5 linked regions of the Macaca fascicularis genome follow. The protein of the gene in region 5 purifies or fractionates together with the protein of the main gene of each other region. This does not show direct contact. Links are inferred from orthologs where the notes say so. Each region holds a gene or a part of one and is shown on either strand. Other genes may lie near its edges.

Evidence for each region. The genes of interacting proteins can lie anywhere in the genome.
Region 1: the proteins of CLTC (region 5) and MYO6 purify together in Homo sapiens (affinity purification with western blotting; 4 studies listed by BioGRID and IntAct, with this or other methods). This does not show direct contact. The link is inferred for Macaca fascicularis from reciprocal best matches to the Homo sapiens genes CLTC and MYO6.
Region 2: the proteins of CLTC (region 5) and PTPN23 purify together in Homo sapiens (affinity purification with mass spectrometry; 3 studies listed by BioGRID and IntAct, with this or other methods). This does not show direct contact. The link is inferred for Macaca fascicularis from reciprocal best matches to the Homo sapiens genes CLTC and PTPN23.
Region 3: the proteins of CLTC (region 5) and CLTA purify together in Homo sapiens (co-immunoprecipitation; 6 studies listed by BioGRID and IntAct, with this or other methods). This does not show direct contact. The link is inferred for Macaca fascicularis from reciprocal best matches to the Homo sapiens genes CLTC and CLTA.
Region 4: the proteins of CLTC (region 5) and AP2M1 purify together in Homo sapiens (affinity purification with mass spectrometry; 3 studies listed by BioGRID and IntAct, with this or other methods). This does not show direct contact. The link is inferred for Macaca fascicularis from reciprocal best matches to the Homo sapiens genes CLTC and AP2M1.

The regions. Positions count from the first base shown.
Region 1 is NC_088378.1:99,257,677-99,261,536, forward strand, and holds part of MYO6 (unconventional myosin-VI), read right to left. Parts: intron 3,266-3,860; coding exon 3,174-3,265; intron 1,120-3,173; coding exon 1,047-1,119; intron 1-1,046. UniProt on the Homo sapiens protein: Myosins are actin-based motor molecules with ATPase activity. Unconventional myosins serve in intracellular movements. Myosin 6 is a reverse-direction motor protein that moves towards the minus-end of actin filaments.
Region 2 is NC_088376.1:110,332,264-110,335,467, forward strand, and holds the end of PTPN23 (tyrosine-protein phosphatase non-receptor type 23), read left to right. Parts: coding exon 1-715; intron 716-808; coding exon 809-993; intron 994-1,120; coding exon 1,121-1,225; intron 1,226-1,306; coding exon 1,307-1,445; intron 1,446-1,537; coding exon 1,538-1,651; intron 1,652-1,729; coding exon 1,730-2,209; 3' UTR 2,210-2,456; downstream 2,457-3,204. Other genes in the region: SCAP (sterol regulatory element-binding protein cleavage-activating protein), read right to left, coding at 2,860-3,105, 3,186-3,204. UniProt on the Homo sapiens protein: Plays a role in sorting of endocytic ubiquitinated cargos into multivesicular bodies (MVBs) via its interaction with the ESCRT-I complex (endosomal sorting complex required for transport I), and possibly also other ESCRT complexes.
Region 3 is NC_088389.1:63,142,745-63,145,512, reverse strand, and holds the end of CLTA (clathrin light chain A), read left to right. Parts: intron 1-590; coding exon 591-626; intron 627-1,570; coding exon 1,571-1,742; 3' UTR 1,743-2,020; downstream 2,021-2,768. UniProt on the Homo sapiens protein: Clathrin is the major protein of the polyhedral coat of coated pits and vesicles.
Region 4 is NC_088376.1:96,097,001-96,100,730, forward strand, and holds part of AP2M1 (AP-2 complex subunit mu), read left to right. Parts: intron 1-1,131; coding exon 1,132-1,397; intron 1,398-2,458; coding exon 2,459-2,541; exon of another isoform or gene 2,542-2,901; coding exon of another isoform or gene 2,902-2,940; intron 2,941-3,138; coding exon 3,139-3,274; intron 3,275-3,374; coding exon 3,375-3,516; intron 3,517-3,730.
Region 5 is NC_088390.1:47,021,079-47,024,938, reverse strand, and holds part of CLTC (clathrin heavy chain 1), read left to right. Parts: intron 1-11; coding exon 12-182; intron 183-541; coding exon 542-763; intron 764-1,964; coding exon 1,965-1,985; intron 1,986-3,860. UniProt on the Homo sapiens protein: Clathrin is the major protein of the polyhedral coat of coated pits and vesicles. Two different adapter protein complexes link the clathrin lattice either to the plasma membrane or to the trans-Golgi network.

The DNA of each region.
Region 1 (3,860 bases), on a different chromosome or scaffold from region 5:
TTCCTTCCTGTCCAAACTAACTATAAAATGTAAACTGCTTGAATACAGTATGTAACAATTATTGAGTGGAACAAAGCGGTAAGACATAGGAAGAGAAAATTCTAACTACATTAGTGAGAAAATGATGCTTCTTGGGTAACTAGTGGTAGTGCAGGAGGGGCATGCTGAACTAAGCTACGAATGCGAGTATTTTGATAGATGTAGTAGCAGGTGAAAGTGGGCCAAAAGACAAACTGAAGGGAAAGAGTTCCAGCCATATCAAACCACACAGTCAAAGACACAGAGGTTAGAAAGGGTCAGTGTGTTAAGGAAACGTGGAGTGGACCAGATGAAATGTGAAAATGCTTTGAAAATTTATACTGATGTAAAGTAATATTATTATTATACTATTTTTTTTTTTCAAATCTAGCCCATCAGTTACTAACAGGATTGTCAAATTGTGTTTTAAAAACAAGGCTTGCCCAACGGTCTATTTTAGAGATGGGGTGGGGAAGAAACGAAAGACTGAAAACCGGCTGTGGGGCTACAGGGAAAGGTTTCTTTACCACTAAAATGAAAGCAGAGCCTCTATTCTCCTGCTGCACAGTGTTATCTGGCTGTGACACATGAAGTCAACTCACAACCAGTTAGAGGGTGCTGTCAATGCACAGAGTACAGCAGAACCAAGAGAATCACAGAAAAGCAGGGCAGACCCTGACAAACTTGCCTGGAGCCTGGCCTAACTATGGACTTCCTCAGGTGAATAAATCTCTTTGCTGACTAGGCAATTAAGTTTCCCCCTTAACCAATTCACATGCTAACTATTTAAGTAGGAAAACATCCTTCAAAATAAATAGAAGAGATTATAGAAAACTTCCAACAAAGATAACTTTGATGTCTTGGTAGGAAAAAATAACTTCCAAGCAGTAATAGAGAAGTAACCTTCTCTCAAACACCAGTTTCAAGTCATATAACAAGTCATGTCAATTACAAAGCACAGAAAAAGTACTGAACCCATTCACTTTATCTTCCCATATTTTTCAAAGATGGAGTTAAAAAACACATACCTATACAGTCCTGATTATCCACATAATGTACTTCATTAACACCTAAACCTTCTTTTTGATAGAGTTCTTGTTCCTAAAAATGCAATAATCATAATCATAGATATGGAAATACAGAGCAATAGTAAATTTTGTGCTGTTTCTGAACATAACATTTACTAATTAGAATGCAAAGGTTTATACAAACTGGTATAGCCTTAAATGTTTTCCAAAAACATACCAGATTTTGAACATTTGCAGACAGGCACTAAAGGCAAGGAAATAGCAATTAACTGCAAATGGACTCTAATATCAATACAGTGATATATACGAGGCATACATCACTTGGGGAAAATAAGCGTAATTTGGAAGAACAATATATGGTCAAATTTGAGTCCTCAACCATGTCTTGTGTCTTCTTAAAATTTTTAAAGAGATTTTATCATAGATGGGTAAACTATGCAATGAATTTAAGTAAATATGTTTTAATGTTGTTTCCTGAATGTTTAAATATTTCCTCTCATGAGAGATACTAGAAAAGGTTTCCAACATTCTAGAAGGCACTGTCCACTTTAACACATCTCAATTTGAAATTCACATTTATTTTAAAGGATATTAAAAAGGTGAACATAAATCAAAATACAGTCTCCTTTTTATAATGTTTCTAGATAAAGTTTTTCGGTAGGTTGGTGTAGAAGGGAAGGATTAGCTTACGTTAAATTACAGGCATGAAGGTAAAACTTCGCATAGTAATAGAACTAATGTGACTGGATAAACATTTTCAGAGAAATTACCTTACTGGTAAATACTTGTTTTACCTGTTTGTTTATGCCAGAATTTATTTAACTATAGAATGTAAGTAAAATGTACAAAAGCTAGAATGTGCTGGGAAGCCCGTAAAAACATAAACATAATAAAAATGTGGGAAAGATAGAAAGGATGGGAATAGGAAATAAAATACTGCACATTCCAGCCCAGATACAGTAGAAGCAGCTGACAGTCCACAAGGTGGCGTGACAAGGAAAGTACTGCCCAGAGGCACTCCAGGACAATCGACGCATCAAATCTGCTGACTTGGTGGCTTTGCTGCCAGACAGAGAAAGGTGAGCAGGCAGCAGAGTAGGCAGAAGCAGAGAGACCTGAAGAAGGGGAGGTACAGTAGGGCATGGTGACTCACGCCTTTAATCCCAACACTTTGAGAGGCTGAGGCAGGCAGATCACCTGAGGTCAGGAGTTCAAGGCCAGCCTGGCCAACATGGTGAAACACCATCTCTACTAAAAATATAAAAATTAGCTGGCCATGGTGGCACGTGCCTGTAGTCCCAGCTACTCAGGAGACTGAGGGAGGAGAATCACCTGAACCCAAGAGGCAGAGGTTGCAGTGAGCCCAGATCGCACCACTGCACTTCAGCCTGGGCAAGACTTCATCTAAAAAACAAACAAACAAACAAAAAACAGAATGAGAGATGCCAAAGGCAGGGATGAGGGTAGAAAGTTGTTTGGTGTGGTAGAAGTAGAGACAACAGACCAGGCGCGGTGGCTCACACCTGTAAGCCCAGCATTTGGGAGGCTGAGGCAGGCGGATTACTTGAGGCCAGGAGTTCGAGACTAGCCTGGCTAAAATTGTGAAACCCCGTCTCTACTAAACATACAAAAATCTGTTGGGTGTGGTAGCCCGCGCCTGTGGTCCCAGCTACTGGAGAGGCTGAGGCAGGAGAATCGCTTGAACCCGGGAGACGGAGGCTGCAGTGAGCCAAGATCACACCACTGCACTCCAGCCTGAGCAACAGAGCGAGACTGTTTCAAAATAAAAATAAAAATAAAAATAAATTTAAAAATAAATTTAACAAAAAAGTAGAGACAACAAAATCATAAAAAGAAACAGAGCTTCAAGTCTATTAAAAGTCACTAATAAAAATAGATGTTCACTTCTGAGGAAGCCCCCATTAAGAGTTTTTATCAGGTCCCTAAACTTCAGCTGAACCATTAACACTTTTGATGTGCTTGAGCCCCGGGGCCTCTGCCGGGCTTCAGTCACCTTCCATTATACAACATCCATCCCCACCAATCAGGGTAACTGCAGCATATCTCTTCCTTGAAATTTAAAACAGCTTTATGCAGATCTTAAATTTAAGTTATAAGGGCAATTACCTCCTTCAGAATCCTTTCATTAAAAAATTGTTGAAGTTTTTCATTGCAATAGTTGATGCAAAATTGTTCATAACTGTTATGCTCAAAGTACTCTGAAAATATAAAACCAGAACCAAGAGTCATTATGAGATCAACTTCATATAAATTTATCGTAGAATAAAATGTAATTGTAATAATGGCCTAATTTAAAATTAGGTTAAAAATATATATATACACATGTATATATATATATTTGTTCTATACTTCTCAAATGTTCTCATTTCAAGACAAAACTTTATAGGCATTAAAAGTATTAAAAATACCCTGCTTCAGTTGACAAGGTGTTTCTCAAATGAGATAAATGCTGTATACTAAAAGATATAAAATGTAAGTCACTTGTAACTATTTATTTATTTATTTTTGAGACAGATTCCCTGTCACACAGGCTGGAGGGCAGTGGTACAATCTTGGCTCACTGCAACCTCCACCTCCCGGGTTCAAGTGATTCTCTTGCCTCAGCCTCCCGAGTAGCTGGAATTACAGACATGCGCCACCACATCCAGCTAATTTGTGTATTTTTAGTAGAGACAGGGTTTCACCATGTTACACAGGCTGGTCTTGAACTCCTGACCTCAAGTGATCTGCCGGCCTCAGCCTCCCAAAGTGCTGGGATTACAGGCATGAGCCACTGCACCTGGTCAACAATTC
Region 2 (3,204 bases), on a different chromosome or scaffold from region 5:
ACCCGTGGGCCCCCAGGCAGCCCCTCTTACCATCCGAGGGCCCTCGCCTGCTGGCCAGCCCACCCCCAGTCCCCACCTAGTGCCTTCACCTGCTCCATCTCCAGGGCCCGGTTCTGTGCCCCCTCGGCCCCCAGCAGCAGAACCACCCCCTTGCCTGCGCCGAGGCGCTGCAGCTGCAGACCTGCTCTCCTCCAGCCCGGAGAGCCAGCATGGCAGCACTCAGCCTCCTGGGGGTGGGCAGCCCCTGCTGCAGCCCACCAAGGTGGACGCAGCTGAGGGCCGTCGGCCGCAGGCCCTGCGGCTGATTGAGCGGGACCCCTATGAGCATCCTGAGAGGCTGCGGCAGTTGCAGCAGGAGCTGGAGGCCTTTCGGGGCCAGCTGGGGGATGTGGGGGCTCTGGACACTGTCTGGCGGGAACTGCAAGATGCACAGGAACATGATGCCCGAGGCCGTTCCATCGCCATCGCCCGCTGCTACTCACTGAAAAACCGGTACCAGGATGTCATGCCGTACGACAGTAACCGTGTGGTACTGCGCTCAGGCAAGGATGACTACATCAATGCCAGCTGCGTGGAGGGGCTCTCCCCATACTGCCCGCCACTAGTGGCCACCCAGGCCCCACTGCCCGGCACAGCTGCTGACTTCTGGCTCATGGTCCATGAGCAGAAAGTGTCAGTCATTGTCATGCTGGTTTCTGAGGCTGAGATGGAGAAGGTGAGAGGGGCTGGGTGCCCACGAGGGCAGTGTGGGGTGGCAGGGCAGGGGATCCTGGAAAACCAGCCCTGCTTTGGTTTGTCTGTCCCTCAGCAAAAAGTGGCACGCTACTTCCCCACCGAGAGGGGCCAGCCCATGGTGCACGGTGCCCTGAGCCTGGCATTGAGCAGCGTCCGCAGCACTGAAACGCATGTGGAACGTGTGCTGAGCCTGCAGTTCCGAGACCAGAGCCTCAAGCGCTCTCTCGTGCACCTCCACTTCCCCACTTGGCCTGAGTTGTGCGTCCACTGCTCTGGATGGTGGCTGGGGGTCTGGGGTGCTGTCCAGTCCTTGGTGCTGGGAGGGATGAGAGCCTGAGATCAGGTCTGGCTCATAGGCTCTTCCCCACCCCATCCTGTCCCACAGAGGCCTGCCCGACAGCCCCAGCAACTTGCTGCACTTCATCCAGGAGGTGCACGCACATTACCTGCATCAGCGGCCGCTGCACACGCCCATCGTTGTGCACTGCAGGTAGAGGGTGGGCCTGACAGTCTCTATGCGGGCTCTTGGCCTGGCCTCATTCCCCAGCCTCATGCCCCCTTCTTGGCACAGCTCTGGTGTGGGCCGCACGGGAGCCTTTGCGCTGCTCTACGCAGCTGTGCAGGAGGTGGAGGCTGGGAATGGAATCCCTGAGCTGCCTCAACTGGTGCGACGCATGCGGCAGCAGAGGAAGCACATGCTGCAGGAGAAGGTGAGGATCTGGGCAGGTGGGGCTGGGATGGGCCTTCTGTCTCCGGGTGACGGGCCCCTGCCTGGCTGACCTGGCCAAATGCACCTGTGCAGCTGCACCTCCGGTTCTGCTATGAGGCAGTGGTGAGACACGTGGAGCAGGTCCTGCAGCGCCATGGTGTGCCCCCTCCATGCAAACCCTTGGCCAGCGCAAGCATCAGCCAGAAGGTGAGGAAGGTTCCCTGGAAGCTGCTGGGACAGCCACAACCTTGGGACTCCCTCTCCTCACCCACTCTGTCTTCTCAGAACCACCTTCCTCAGGACTCCCAGGACCTGGTCCTCGGTGGGGATGTGCCCATCAGCTCCATCCAGGCCACCATTGCCAAGCTCAGCATCCGGCCTCCTGGGGGATTGGAGTCCCCAGTTGCCAGCTTGCCAGGCCCTGCAGAGCCCCCAGGCCTCCCGCCAGCCAGCCTCCCAGAGTCTACCCCAATCCCATCTTCCTCCCCGCCCCCCCTTTCCTCCCCGCTGCCTGAGGCTCCCCAGCCTAAGGAGGAGCCGCCAGTGCCTGAAGCCCCCAGCTCGGGGCCCCCCTCCTCCTCCCTGGAGCTGCTGGCCTCCTTGACCCCAGAGGCCTTCTCCCTGGATAGCTCCCTGCGGGGCAAGCAGCGGATGAGCAAGCAGAACTTTCTGCAGGCCCATAACGGGCAAGGGCTACGGGCCACCCAGCCCTCTGACGACCCCCTCAGCCTTCTGGATCCACTGTGGACACTCAACAAGACCTGAACAGGTTTCGCCTACCTGGTCCTTACACTACATCTCTCATGCCCACCTGCCCACACCCAGCAGAGCTTCTCAGTGGGCACAGTCTCTTACTCCCATTTCTGCTGCCTTTGGCCTGCCTGGCCCAGTCTGCACCCCTGTGGGGTGGAGATGTACTGCAGGCTCTGGGTCAGGTTCTGCTCCTTTATGAGACCTGACATTTTTCAGCTCTTTGCTATTGAAATAATAAACCACCCTGTTCTGTGGCCCATGTCTGAGTCTGCCCATTGCTGCCTCAGCTCCAGTAGCACTGGCAGGAACTTAGCACCTTTCGTGGATAACAGGATGGTACCAAACTGTTATACTACCAGGACAGTTCTTTAAGGGTCCTGCAGTTCTGGCTTGCTCATCCTCCCCGCTTTGCTACCTGTGCCATGCTGTATGTTTCCTCAGCAGCTCTGAGGAGGGTCCAGGCAGAGTGTGTGCACAAACAATTCCGAGAGAGACAAGTAGCTCCCAAAGTGCCTGACAGATGTGGTTTTTTAAAAAAGTTTAATATTACAGTCAGGAGGCAGCGGCTGGAAGATACTCGGCTCTTTCCCCCAAGTCCAGGTTCAGTGCATTGGCCCCCACACAGCACCCCAGACCCCTGCCTGGGCAGGGAGGCCCCATGCTCAGTCCAGCTTCTCCAGCACGGAGGGCACATACACCAGGCTGAGCTCACTGCCAAAGTTGCAGACAATGGCAGCGTTGTCCAGCACCAGGATCTGGCGGGCAGGCTGGGCCTCACTGTTCTTCCCCAGGTAGACTGTCTGTAACAGGTCCCCGTAGTTTAGGTCCCAAAAGGAGACACAGCCTTGGCCGCCGGTCACCAGCAGGTTGTCTGAGATGACACCCAAGCTTGCACCACAGCCCAGATCCTGGAGGCAAGGACATGACAAGCTCAGTCCTGAGTCCTTCCCTAAAGTCCCAAGAATCCTATGATCCCCACCCCCTCTACCTGCTGAATGGAGTAGAAC
Region 3 (2,768 bases), on a different chromosome or scaffold from region 5:
CACTTGGGCTTCTCCCCCAGACCCCTCAAAAGAAACCTGCATCTTCGCTGGAGAAGGTGTTTTTCTTTTTTTTTTTTTTTTTTTAAAACGATTCCTGTTATCAAAGCAGTGTTGCTGAAGAGCTAGAAACAGTTCTCATTGTCTCCTCCTTAAAAATTAGGGCTGGCTTTACAAGAGAAGTAAGGGTGGAATGGAAGAGGAGAGGAACCTGTAAAAGGTGGACGATGAGCTCAGGTCTGTAGAGCCTCTCAGGGCCTATGACCTTGAGATGTTCATCCCCTTAGAAGACAGAACTGGGTTTCCTGGGCCCCCAGATGCATTTGCAGTGAGACTTGTGAAATGCTGGACTTACAGGTGGTGTTTGATTTGATTTCTGCACATTCTCTCTGGAGTAGAAATGGAGACTTGGAAAGGTCGAGTCTGGTTTTGCTGGGCAGCTGGGTGGCCAGCAAAGCCAGCTGCACGTCCCTAAGCACAGATAGAGTGGCAAGGGCATGTCCAGCTTACTGACCATCTGCATTGAGCTCATTCTCATTTTCTATATCTGACTTAAAGTTTCTCTCGTTTCTTTTCTTCTCTTCACCTTTAAGCACAAACATAAACCATCCTTGCTACAGCCTAGAACAGTTAAGTAAACCTTTCTCACTGCCCCTAACTGTGTGTGCCATGAAGTCGCAGTGTTGTAGTGGCTCTGGGCTTCAGCGGTGTTTGCCACGGCCATCCCTGTGATAGTGCCACCCCTCCGTCCCTACAGACCAGTCATCTCCATTGCTTTTGCTTTGCCCGTGATGCTTGTTGGAGTAGATGAATATAGTGTGTCTTACTGCTGTCCTTTCCGGCTGTAGCTCCCACCAGTTAATTCCGAACTGGGGGTGGGCTGACCTTGATGTGAAAGAATGTTGGAGCAGCATCCTGCCAAAAAGCAACTCACGTTGGCTCTCCTGCCAGTGTGCCCTGAGTGGCCCCAAGGCACCTGGCTGGAGGGAAAATGGCAAACTTTTGGCTGACTGGAGAATGTCCTAACAAACCCCCTTCCAGAATGGCTTTAGTCTCTAGTGCCTGCTAGCATGGGAGCTTTGTCTTGAATTCCTTTTGATCTGCCCCGTTTCTCTCCAGCCTTAGGAATAAATCTAGAGGCTATTGTGCAATGATCTGTGGGCTTTTAGAAGTCTCTAAATTTCCTTGAAATTCAGTACAGCCCAGCATAAACTACTCAAGTTCTTGACCAGCCTGCTGCTTTGTTCTTGTTAATAAAAGCAGTGTGTAGCTGGCTAAGGACTTGTTTTATTAATGCTCCACAGGAGCAGAGACAGCCAGACAGAGAGACGTAGTGAGCCCTGAACCAAACACCTGTATTCCAACATTTTACACAGTGGTCTGGGCACGCTGTGCCTAGGAGAGCCAGCGACGTGTCTACCTGAGTCTGACCTGGGCCAGGGACTGTTATCTTGGGAAAGCCAGAATGCCATTAAGAAAGGGACAAACAGGCAGTTGCTTGTGTAGCAAGGCAGCCACCAGGTTGCTCAAAGGGGGTTCTACATAAACCAACATATTTTGTTGTTGCTTCCAGGGCAGCAGAAGAAGCCTTTGTAAATGACATTGACGAGTCATCCCCAGGCACTGAGTGGGAACGGGTGGCCCGGCTGTGTGACTTTAACCCCAAGTCTAGCAAGCAGGCCAAAGACGTCTCCCGCATGCGTTCAGTCCTCATCTCCCTCAAGCAGGCCCCGCTGGTGCACTGAAGAGCCACCCTGTGGAAACACTACATCTGCAATATAATCCTACTCAGTGAAGCTCTTCACAGTCATTGGATTAATTATGTTGAGTTCTTTTGGACCAAACCTTTTTGTCTTTAGAGTTGATCATTGTTTGTGATTGCATGTTTCCTTCAACTGTGTTCTCCCTGGCATTCAGAGAGGAGGGGGAGGAGCAAGAGGAAGGGGAGGGAAGCCTCCCAACAGTAGCCTCAACCTGTGCTTTTGTGCATTATTCTGAGAATAAATTTCTGTTTCAAACTGTATTATGTGAAGCTTCTTTATTGACCTCAAGATGTGTTGTAGTTTGGAGTGAGGTTGGAAGGGTTGAGGAATTTCCTTGAAATTTGTAGGGCTGAGGAGGCACAGCCACTGGGCACACAGCCCTGCCTTGAACTGAGATAGCGCCAGGATCTAGAGTGGGATTCTGTGGACATTTTCATTTGAGAAGGGAGTTTAATGGCTGAGGGGGTTATAGCGCCGGGATCTAGAGTGGGATTCTGTGGACATTTTCATTTGAGAAGGGAGTTTAATGGCTGAGGGGGTTATAGCGCCGGGATCTAGAGTGGGATTCTGTGGACATTTTCATTTGAGAAGGGAGTTTAATGGCTGAGGGGGTTATAGCGCCGGGATCTAGAGTGGGATTCTGTGGACATTTTCATTTGAGAAGGGAGTTTAATGGCTGAGGGGGTTATAGCGCCGGGATCTAGAGTGGGATTCTGTGGACATTTTCATTTGAGAAGGGAGTTTAATGGCTGAAGGTTAACCCCCTCATTATCTACCTAAGACACAGCTGTGAATCCTCTCACCAACCTAGTTGTTTTCTCCCAGATGGGCTCGTTTGCCAGTGTCCCTCGGTTTAGGGTCTTGGATAGTATATTTCAGCAGGAGTCTGTCTGGGGCATGTAGACTCTAGTATGACCTTGACTCACTTGGATCTGGCCAGTAAGCCTGAGTCAGGACAGCATTCACATGTGGCTAGCCCCATTACTGTTGAGTCCCGTAGCACATCCC
Region 4 (3,730 bases), on a different chromosome or scaffold from region 5:
GCCTTCTCATTCTGCACCCCCTTGCACACGCTGGACCTATCCTAGCCTCCGAGGCGCTAATGAGATTAGGCTCCTCTGGTTCCTGCTGCCTGTTTTTCTTCCTCAGAGAGCTTGAGATAAAGTCACAGAATGGGCCTGTGGCAGTGCTCCTCATTTGGCTCCCTGGCTGATGGGCTGGCCTGGCCCTTGCGGGTGTTTGTCCATTGGCTGGTGGTGTGGCATGAGTTAGAGCTGCAGCTGTGGCAAGGTCTGGCCTGCCTGAATCTGGCTGGCTACACCCCCCACCCCCACCCCCGGCCCCCCTCCTGCGTTGGATGGACTAGGCAAGCCAAGGCTGGGTCACACGCCACCTTGCCTGTCTTGTCTGCTTCCACCTCACGGTGTGTGCTGCCCTCCCGGTGTGTTGTGTGTCTAACCCTCTCTCTCGTTGCTGTCACTCTCCTCTTCTTGCTGGCGTCATTTCTCTCATCCCATCTCATTGACTGCCGTAGCAATAGGTAAGCGGCCTCTCAAGCTGCTGCCCAGGTACAGGTGGGTGGGGGCCCTGCCCCCATCATTGTTTTCCTGCATCCTTTTTCATTCCCTGAACTTGCTCTGGAGTTGGATCCTGGGCAAGAATGGGTAGCACAGTTCCATGGCCCCTTGGTACTTCCTCCTTTGTGACTTCTGAAGCCATGCTGGCTTTGTATAACATCTGGAGGAGTCGGCCCTCCCCACTGGTGGGATCACTAGTGGGAGGACTGGAGAAGCAGTGTCTCTTTCTGTCCTGGACCTGGGAGCTTACAGGGAAGCTAGATAAAGCTGGGAAATTAGGGCCAGCCCTGGGAGTCAAGAATATCTGTCTCTAAACCTGATGAACCTCACTTTATTAAGGTTACATCGGCCTTAATAGTTGACTTCCCTATTTCTTGTGGCCTTTAGACACTAGCCCAGCTCAGGCACTCTTCCCATGCCTCCACAGGGAGTCATAAGAAGGGAACCACCCCAGTGGTTTAGGCATTGGCTTTCTTTAGATTGTGTGTGTCAGACTTCTGCAGAAAGGTGGGTGGAGCTGTTAACAGCTGTGGTTGATCCTTGTGGGGTAAGGTTCGCCTGGGTGCTGAGCAGGCCCTGTGCACCCTTTCCCCTCAGGAGGAACGCAGTGGATGCCTTTCGGGTCAATGTTATCCATGCCCGGCAGCAGGTGCGCAGCCCCGTCACCAACATTGCTCGCACCAGCTTCTTCCACGTTAAGCGGTCCAACATTTGGCTGGCAGCAGTCACCAAGCAGAATGTCAACGCTGCCATGGTCTTCGAATTCCTCTATAAGATGTGTGACGTGATGGCTGCCTACTTTGGCAAGATCAGCGAGGAAAACATCAAGAACAATTTTGTACTCATATATGAGCTGCTGGATGGTGAGGCTGGTGGGCTGGCAGGGCAGGGGGCCTAGGGTGGGAAAGAACCAGGCTGGGCCTGGCCTGAAAGTGGGTGTAGGTCCGAGGCTCTGGTACACTCTGAACTTTCTTTCCTGAGTATCTGGGCTCTTGGACTAGGATCTCTATGCCCCTCAGAAGGCCAGTTCACATCCAAACCTAAAGGCTGGTCTGAAGTAGAACACAGAAATAGGCCAGCAGGTGTGGAGGGGAAGTTTTGGTCTTCCACGGGGCTAGGAACCTGACTCAGGTTTGGTGGTGAGCCTCCTGTATTCATCCTCTTTCCTTTGTGGCTTGGACCTTACTTCACTGACTGTCCACCCAGTTTTCCATCTCAGCAGCTGCTTCAGAGCCTGGGGGAGACTGAGATACTACAAGCCTCTGGGGGTGCACTGTTACCTCTGTTTCTCTGTAGAGTGTGATCTAAGGGAAGGTGAATCCTTCCACCTTCCCATTGTCTATTTTCTGGAGAAAACAGCTCAAAGCTTCTTGATTTGCCACCCACTGGCCATGTGACTCTTCTATTGATTTCTTTTTTTTTTTTTTTTTTTTTTGAGACAGGGTCTTACTGTTGTCGCCTATGCTGAGTGCAGTGGTGTAATCGCAGCTCACTGAAGCCTTGACCTCCCAGGCTCAAGCAATCCTCCAGCCTTAGCCTCCTGAGTAGCTGGGACCACAGGCACATGCCACCATGCTTGGCTCATTTTTACTATTTTTTGTAGAGCTGGGTCTCGCTATGTTGCCCAGGCTGGTCTTGAACTCCTGGGCTGAAGTGATTCTCCCACCTTGGCCTCCCAAAGTGTTGGGATTATAGGCATAAGCCACTGCGCCTGGCCTTGATTTCTCTATTTGAAAAAATCAAACATTTGAATTGTTTTCCTGTAAAGCACAAATCACAGAATAAATGCTACAAAGCTAGAAGACTTTGTTGCAGATGATCCCACATGGTCTTTGGGAGCTGTGCCAGTCAGACATGTGTAGGCCCAAGTAGGGACTGGAATGAGAAGGTTTGTTCAGGGGCTGATGGTTCCCTTCTTTTTCAGAGATTCTAGACTTTGGCTATCCACAGAATTCCGAGACAGGCGCGCTGAAAACCTTCATCACGCAGCAGGGCATCAAGAGTCAGGTACTTGAATTGTGCAGACTATAGTCAGGGTGCAGGCCAATCTCCCTTCATCTCAGCTGGCCCCTGAGCCTTGTCTGAGCTGACTCATAAGCCCTCCCATAACAGGAAGTGCTGGCCTGAGCCTCCTGCCATGATTGCAGGCCTATTTTGCTCTATGTGGTCCTCCCACTGCAGGAGCAGCCAATTCAGCATCTCTGTTACCAGGAATACAGCTCAAGCAGTTTCCTTTTGCACTGAGGGTTGGGGGAGGAGGCCTGGTCTTGAGGCCTGGTGTTCCTCAGGAGGAGAGAGCTTGGGCCCTCTCCTATAGGATCCAAGCCTCATAGCTTTCTCCTCCTTTTCTGCCTCCCTTGCTACTTCATGTGGGCACCTCGTTGGCCCTGCGGCCTCCAGCATCAGGTAAGCCCTTCCCTTAGCTTCCGCCCTTGCAGCTTTGCTTTGTTTCTCCAGGCCCTGCCCTTTGGGGCTTATAGGGGAAAATGGATTACAGGTGGGGACTAGAAGGGATGGGGAATGAGGGTGGAGTGGGGATAGAGACAGGATGATTAAAGGGAGAGGGGAGTGAGGCTCTTGCTGTTTGTTTCTGCTCCCATGTAGACAAAAGAAGAGCAGTCACAGATCACCAGCCAGGTGACTGGGCAGATTGGCTGGCGGCGAGAGGGTATCAAGTATCGCCGGAATGAGCTCTTCCTGGATGTGCTGGAGAGTGTGAACCTGCTCATGTCCCCACAAGGTGAGGTCCCTCTCACAACAAAGCTGGAGGGGGACCAGGGCAGGATCCTGGGTCTGCCTGCCTGACTCTGCTGCTCCCCATTTATCTGTTCCATCATCAGGGCAGGTGCTGAGTGCCCATGTGTCGGGCCGGGTGGTGATGAAGAGCTACCTGAGTGGCATGCCTGAATGCAAGTTTGGGATGAATGACAAGATTGTTATTGAAAAGCAGGGCAAAGGCACAGCTGATGAAACAAGCAAGAGGTGCCTGAGGCAGGAGAGCTGGTGGGAAAGGGTGTCCCTTGGAGGGCTCGGTGGGGTCTAGTGAACCACAAGTTTCTTCTGGATTTCATTCCCACTGTAATTGCAAACTCTGTTCCTGACGGTAAGCCTGGCTGTTCGCTCTTGACATTGGTGCTAAGAGAGATGAGGGGACTGTCCTCAGAGCAAGCCCCTTTTTTTGGTCCCTAGGACCAAG
Region 5 (3,860 bases):
TTTTTTTTAAGGCTCTGCGAACATCAATAGATGCTTATGACAACTTTGACAATATCTCGCTTGCTCAGCGTTTGGAAAAACATGAACTCATTGAGTTCAGGAGAATTGCTGCTTATCTCTTCAAAGGCAACAATCGCTGGAAACAGAGTGTAGAGCTGTGCAAGAAAGACAGCCTTTACAAGGTTGATAAAGTTGCGGGGCGGGGGCTGTTAAACCAGGCCTAAAATGATGTTACAAGTGATTTCTATAAATAAAAGTATTGGTTTTGTGAATATGAGAACTGACTTTAAGGCAATTTAAGTTAATGGATTTCTTGATTCTAGGGGCTCTCTTATGTTAAGGTCAAACTTGTTTGGGGGGAAAAAAAGGCCTTTAGCTTATCTGTTCTTTGAAAATTTTAATTTAAATGATACAACTAGGAGGCTTTTTTCCCCCTTGCAAAACCAGATTTATATTGGAAAGGTTCCATTGTTTTTCTTGGTTTACTAGTTTAGTATGTTGGGTCTAATGTTTTTTGACTTTCACTATTTTCTTTGAATAGGATGCAATGCAGTATGCTTCTGAATCTAAAGATACTGAGTTGGCTGAAGAACTCCTGCAGTGGTTTTTGCAGGAAGAAAAAAGAGAGTGCTTTGGAGCTTGTCTGTTTACCTGTTACGATCTTTTAAGGCCAGATGTTGTCCTAGAAACTGCATGGAGGCACAATATCATGGATTTTGCCATGCCCTATTTCATCCAGGTCATGAAGGAATACTTGACAAAGGTAATGACTCTTCTAAGTGTATTCAGAAGTAGTTTTCTTGCAGATATGTAAAATTCTACATGCACATTAATTTTTTTAATTTTTTTTATTTAGTAGAAGTCATTTAGTCGATCATAAAATATTCCTGTTCTTTTGAAAAATTTTTAATAGCTGATAAATGACACTGTTTGGAAGGGGAACTCAAATGTAGCTGTTTACCCTCAGTGTATTTATGATTGTGAAAATAATCTATATTTTGTTTTTTTATTTTAAAAACTATTCGATAAATTTTATTTCAAAGTCGCATTTTTCTCAAACTCAGTTCTTGTAACTCAAATAATCATAACTAGTATTGTAGATTCCCTTTTATTTGGTTGGCTCCTGACTTTAGTGATGTCTATGCCTGTTTCCCCTGGGGAAGCTGCATGTATATTCTTAACATCCTTTTAATCTTCACAATTTTTTTTGATAGTTTAACCCCTGATTTAAAAATATCATAGGAGGTGAACACATAAACAAGCTGGGGGTCTAATTGCCTTGTAAAATTCACTATTCATCTTAGTGTCCCTTTTTGATATAAGAATTTACTCACTCTGTCTTCAGCAGTTACTAGCTTTCTCTCTCTAGAACATTTTTAAATGGTTTTAGAGGATCCTTTTTGTCAAAGCAAAAAACATGATTAAAATCAGACTCTCCCAACTGATTCCTTCAGCCTGCCTGAGTTAAGGCGGGGGTAGGGGGAGTGGGAGCACTACCAACAACCCCTACTACACTGAATTTTTCCTCAGGATATCATTTAATTAGATACCATTGTGTCTGTTTCAAGTTTTTAAAGAATTAACATTTTCTGTATTCAATGTAAGAAAAAACATGTTGCCTTGTCTTAGCCAACATGTTTTAGCCATAGATGAGAATAGCTTCTTAAACATAATGCCAACTTGTGAGACCTGTCTCTAAGCTGCTGTTAACCTAAGTGCTGTAAATTTTACTAGTGATTAAGCTGCTTTCTTTCATACTGTAGCATAAATTCTTCTGCAGTAAGCTTTGAAGTTACAGAAAAATCTAAATTTTGCTTCCAGTATGCCCTTTATTTTCACTTCTCTCATACCTTTTTAGTGGTTAGATGTTTCTTCCCTAAACCTTTGTTGCTGATTCTACCTTTTTATGCTCAATATGGAATTTGATTTTTTTTCTAAGCTGCACCTTCTGAATTCCTTTGCAGGTTGATGCAATAAAGGAAAAGGTGAAAGTTGATTCTTTTCCATCTTTAAGTCTGGAGAACTAAGTCTAAGGAATTTGCATGATTTTTTTCCTTCCTTTTCTACACTGCTGCTGCTGCTTTTTCCCCCCAATAAATTTTCACTAAAGCCTCTGCAAGTCCCTTGAAACATAACTTTAATAGAACTGTAGGACATTAGTAGACGTTTGCTACTAATCGGCTAATAGGCTTTAGGAAGGGCAGGAGGCTAATCAGTAGTTGGTTCACAGTCTCTCTTAAATATATTATGAAAAACTGAGTATGGTGAGTTTCCATATTAATTCCAAAGTAACAGGAAATTTCTCTTCCCTGTCAGGGTATCTGGACCCTAATAGGACTATCATAATACTTGAAGTAAATTAAAACAGCCTCTGGTTTTACTTTGTGAGCTTGCCTGACAGTTGTTGAATTTATATATGTATATACATGCCCTAAAAGGCTTTTTGGGGTTTTTTTTTTTTTGGTATTGAAGGACTGTGATCCAGTTTCTGATCTCTTGATTCTTACTAATTTTTTGCTGAAAGTAGATACAAGAGATACTAGCTGCTTCCGAAGAGACTTTCCTCATGTTTCTCCAGGTGTCCAGTTCTTATGGTGCTAGTCCATTTTTAAGAGGAATCAAAACCTTTTTAATCACGAGAGCCAAGCTTGCTATAATTGTTGCTAAGCAACATGAATTACTTTTAACAAAGTATTAACTTCTACTTTCTGTAATAAGGCATACCACTGAAGCTACCTAAAATTTGCTCTCCTATTTATCAGTTGGCTTGTCCAAGGAGGTCAAATTCAGGCACCTTTTGGTTGCTGCTTCCTTCATTGGCTTGTCTCCATCCCAATATGAATGAAACAAACTTACGTCTGTTATCAAATTGTGGTTAGAAAAGGGTGGGAAGGTAAAGGAGAGTTGAAACAAATTGAAAATAATTTGGGTGGGGGACAATGCCTTGGGATTATGTTGAACCAAACTGGAGTCACCACTGGAACTTAGGGCAAACCTGAGTAAAATGCATTGTGTGTGAGACCCTTCAGCAGCTAGTAAGCAAGGCAGTTAGAAAGCGTGTGTGTGAAAAACAGGTAATTGAACTGCAGTGTTATGCATTGTTTTAAATGGAGCATGTACAACAGTCATTGCAATTACATCATACTATTTTTGAAACTCTTATAGCATTGCTGTGGGCTGTGTGTGTTTCTTGAGAGCCTGTATAGCAAGTCATCTTCAGATCACACTTCTTGCTTCAGTACTTTTGCCTTTTTTTCATGCACACATACACCAAAATAACTGACTGCATGTTACTTTTCCTCTGCAGCATATTGCAGTCTTTGTGGAAAAGCCTTTTACATTTTAGTGAATTTTCAGTAGTACAGATGGAACTGAATTCATTGACATGCTTACCTGTAATTTTTCTTTTTAAATCCAAGGATCAGAAACTTTTGTTACAGCTCTTAACAAAAGCTTGTGTTCTTAAAAGCCTTCTATGCTTTTTTTTTTTTTTTTTTTTTTTGAGCAATCTAAATTGGATCAGTGGAAACAAAAATTGAAAGTCCCTGTGCCAGAGGCTGTCCCATCATATAGAAGAATCAGAATTTTTTGCTTAGCTTGATGCTATTCCTTCAGAATTCTTCCCCCTATGCCCAGAGTTCCTATGTGTATGCCAGGGCATTGTGATATTGCCAGCTCTTCTAAGTCTTCCATGTGCTTCTCTAATAGGACTTCTGTGTTCAACATCTGATTCAGACCTTAACTTTTAAACACATGTTCACTTCAGATTCTTTTCCTCGAAAGTCAGGAAATGTATTATGCAGTGGTGGCTTTTTGGTTGTTTCATTTTTCTTCTTAGAAGTTACTAATGTACAGACATC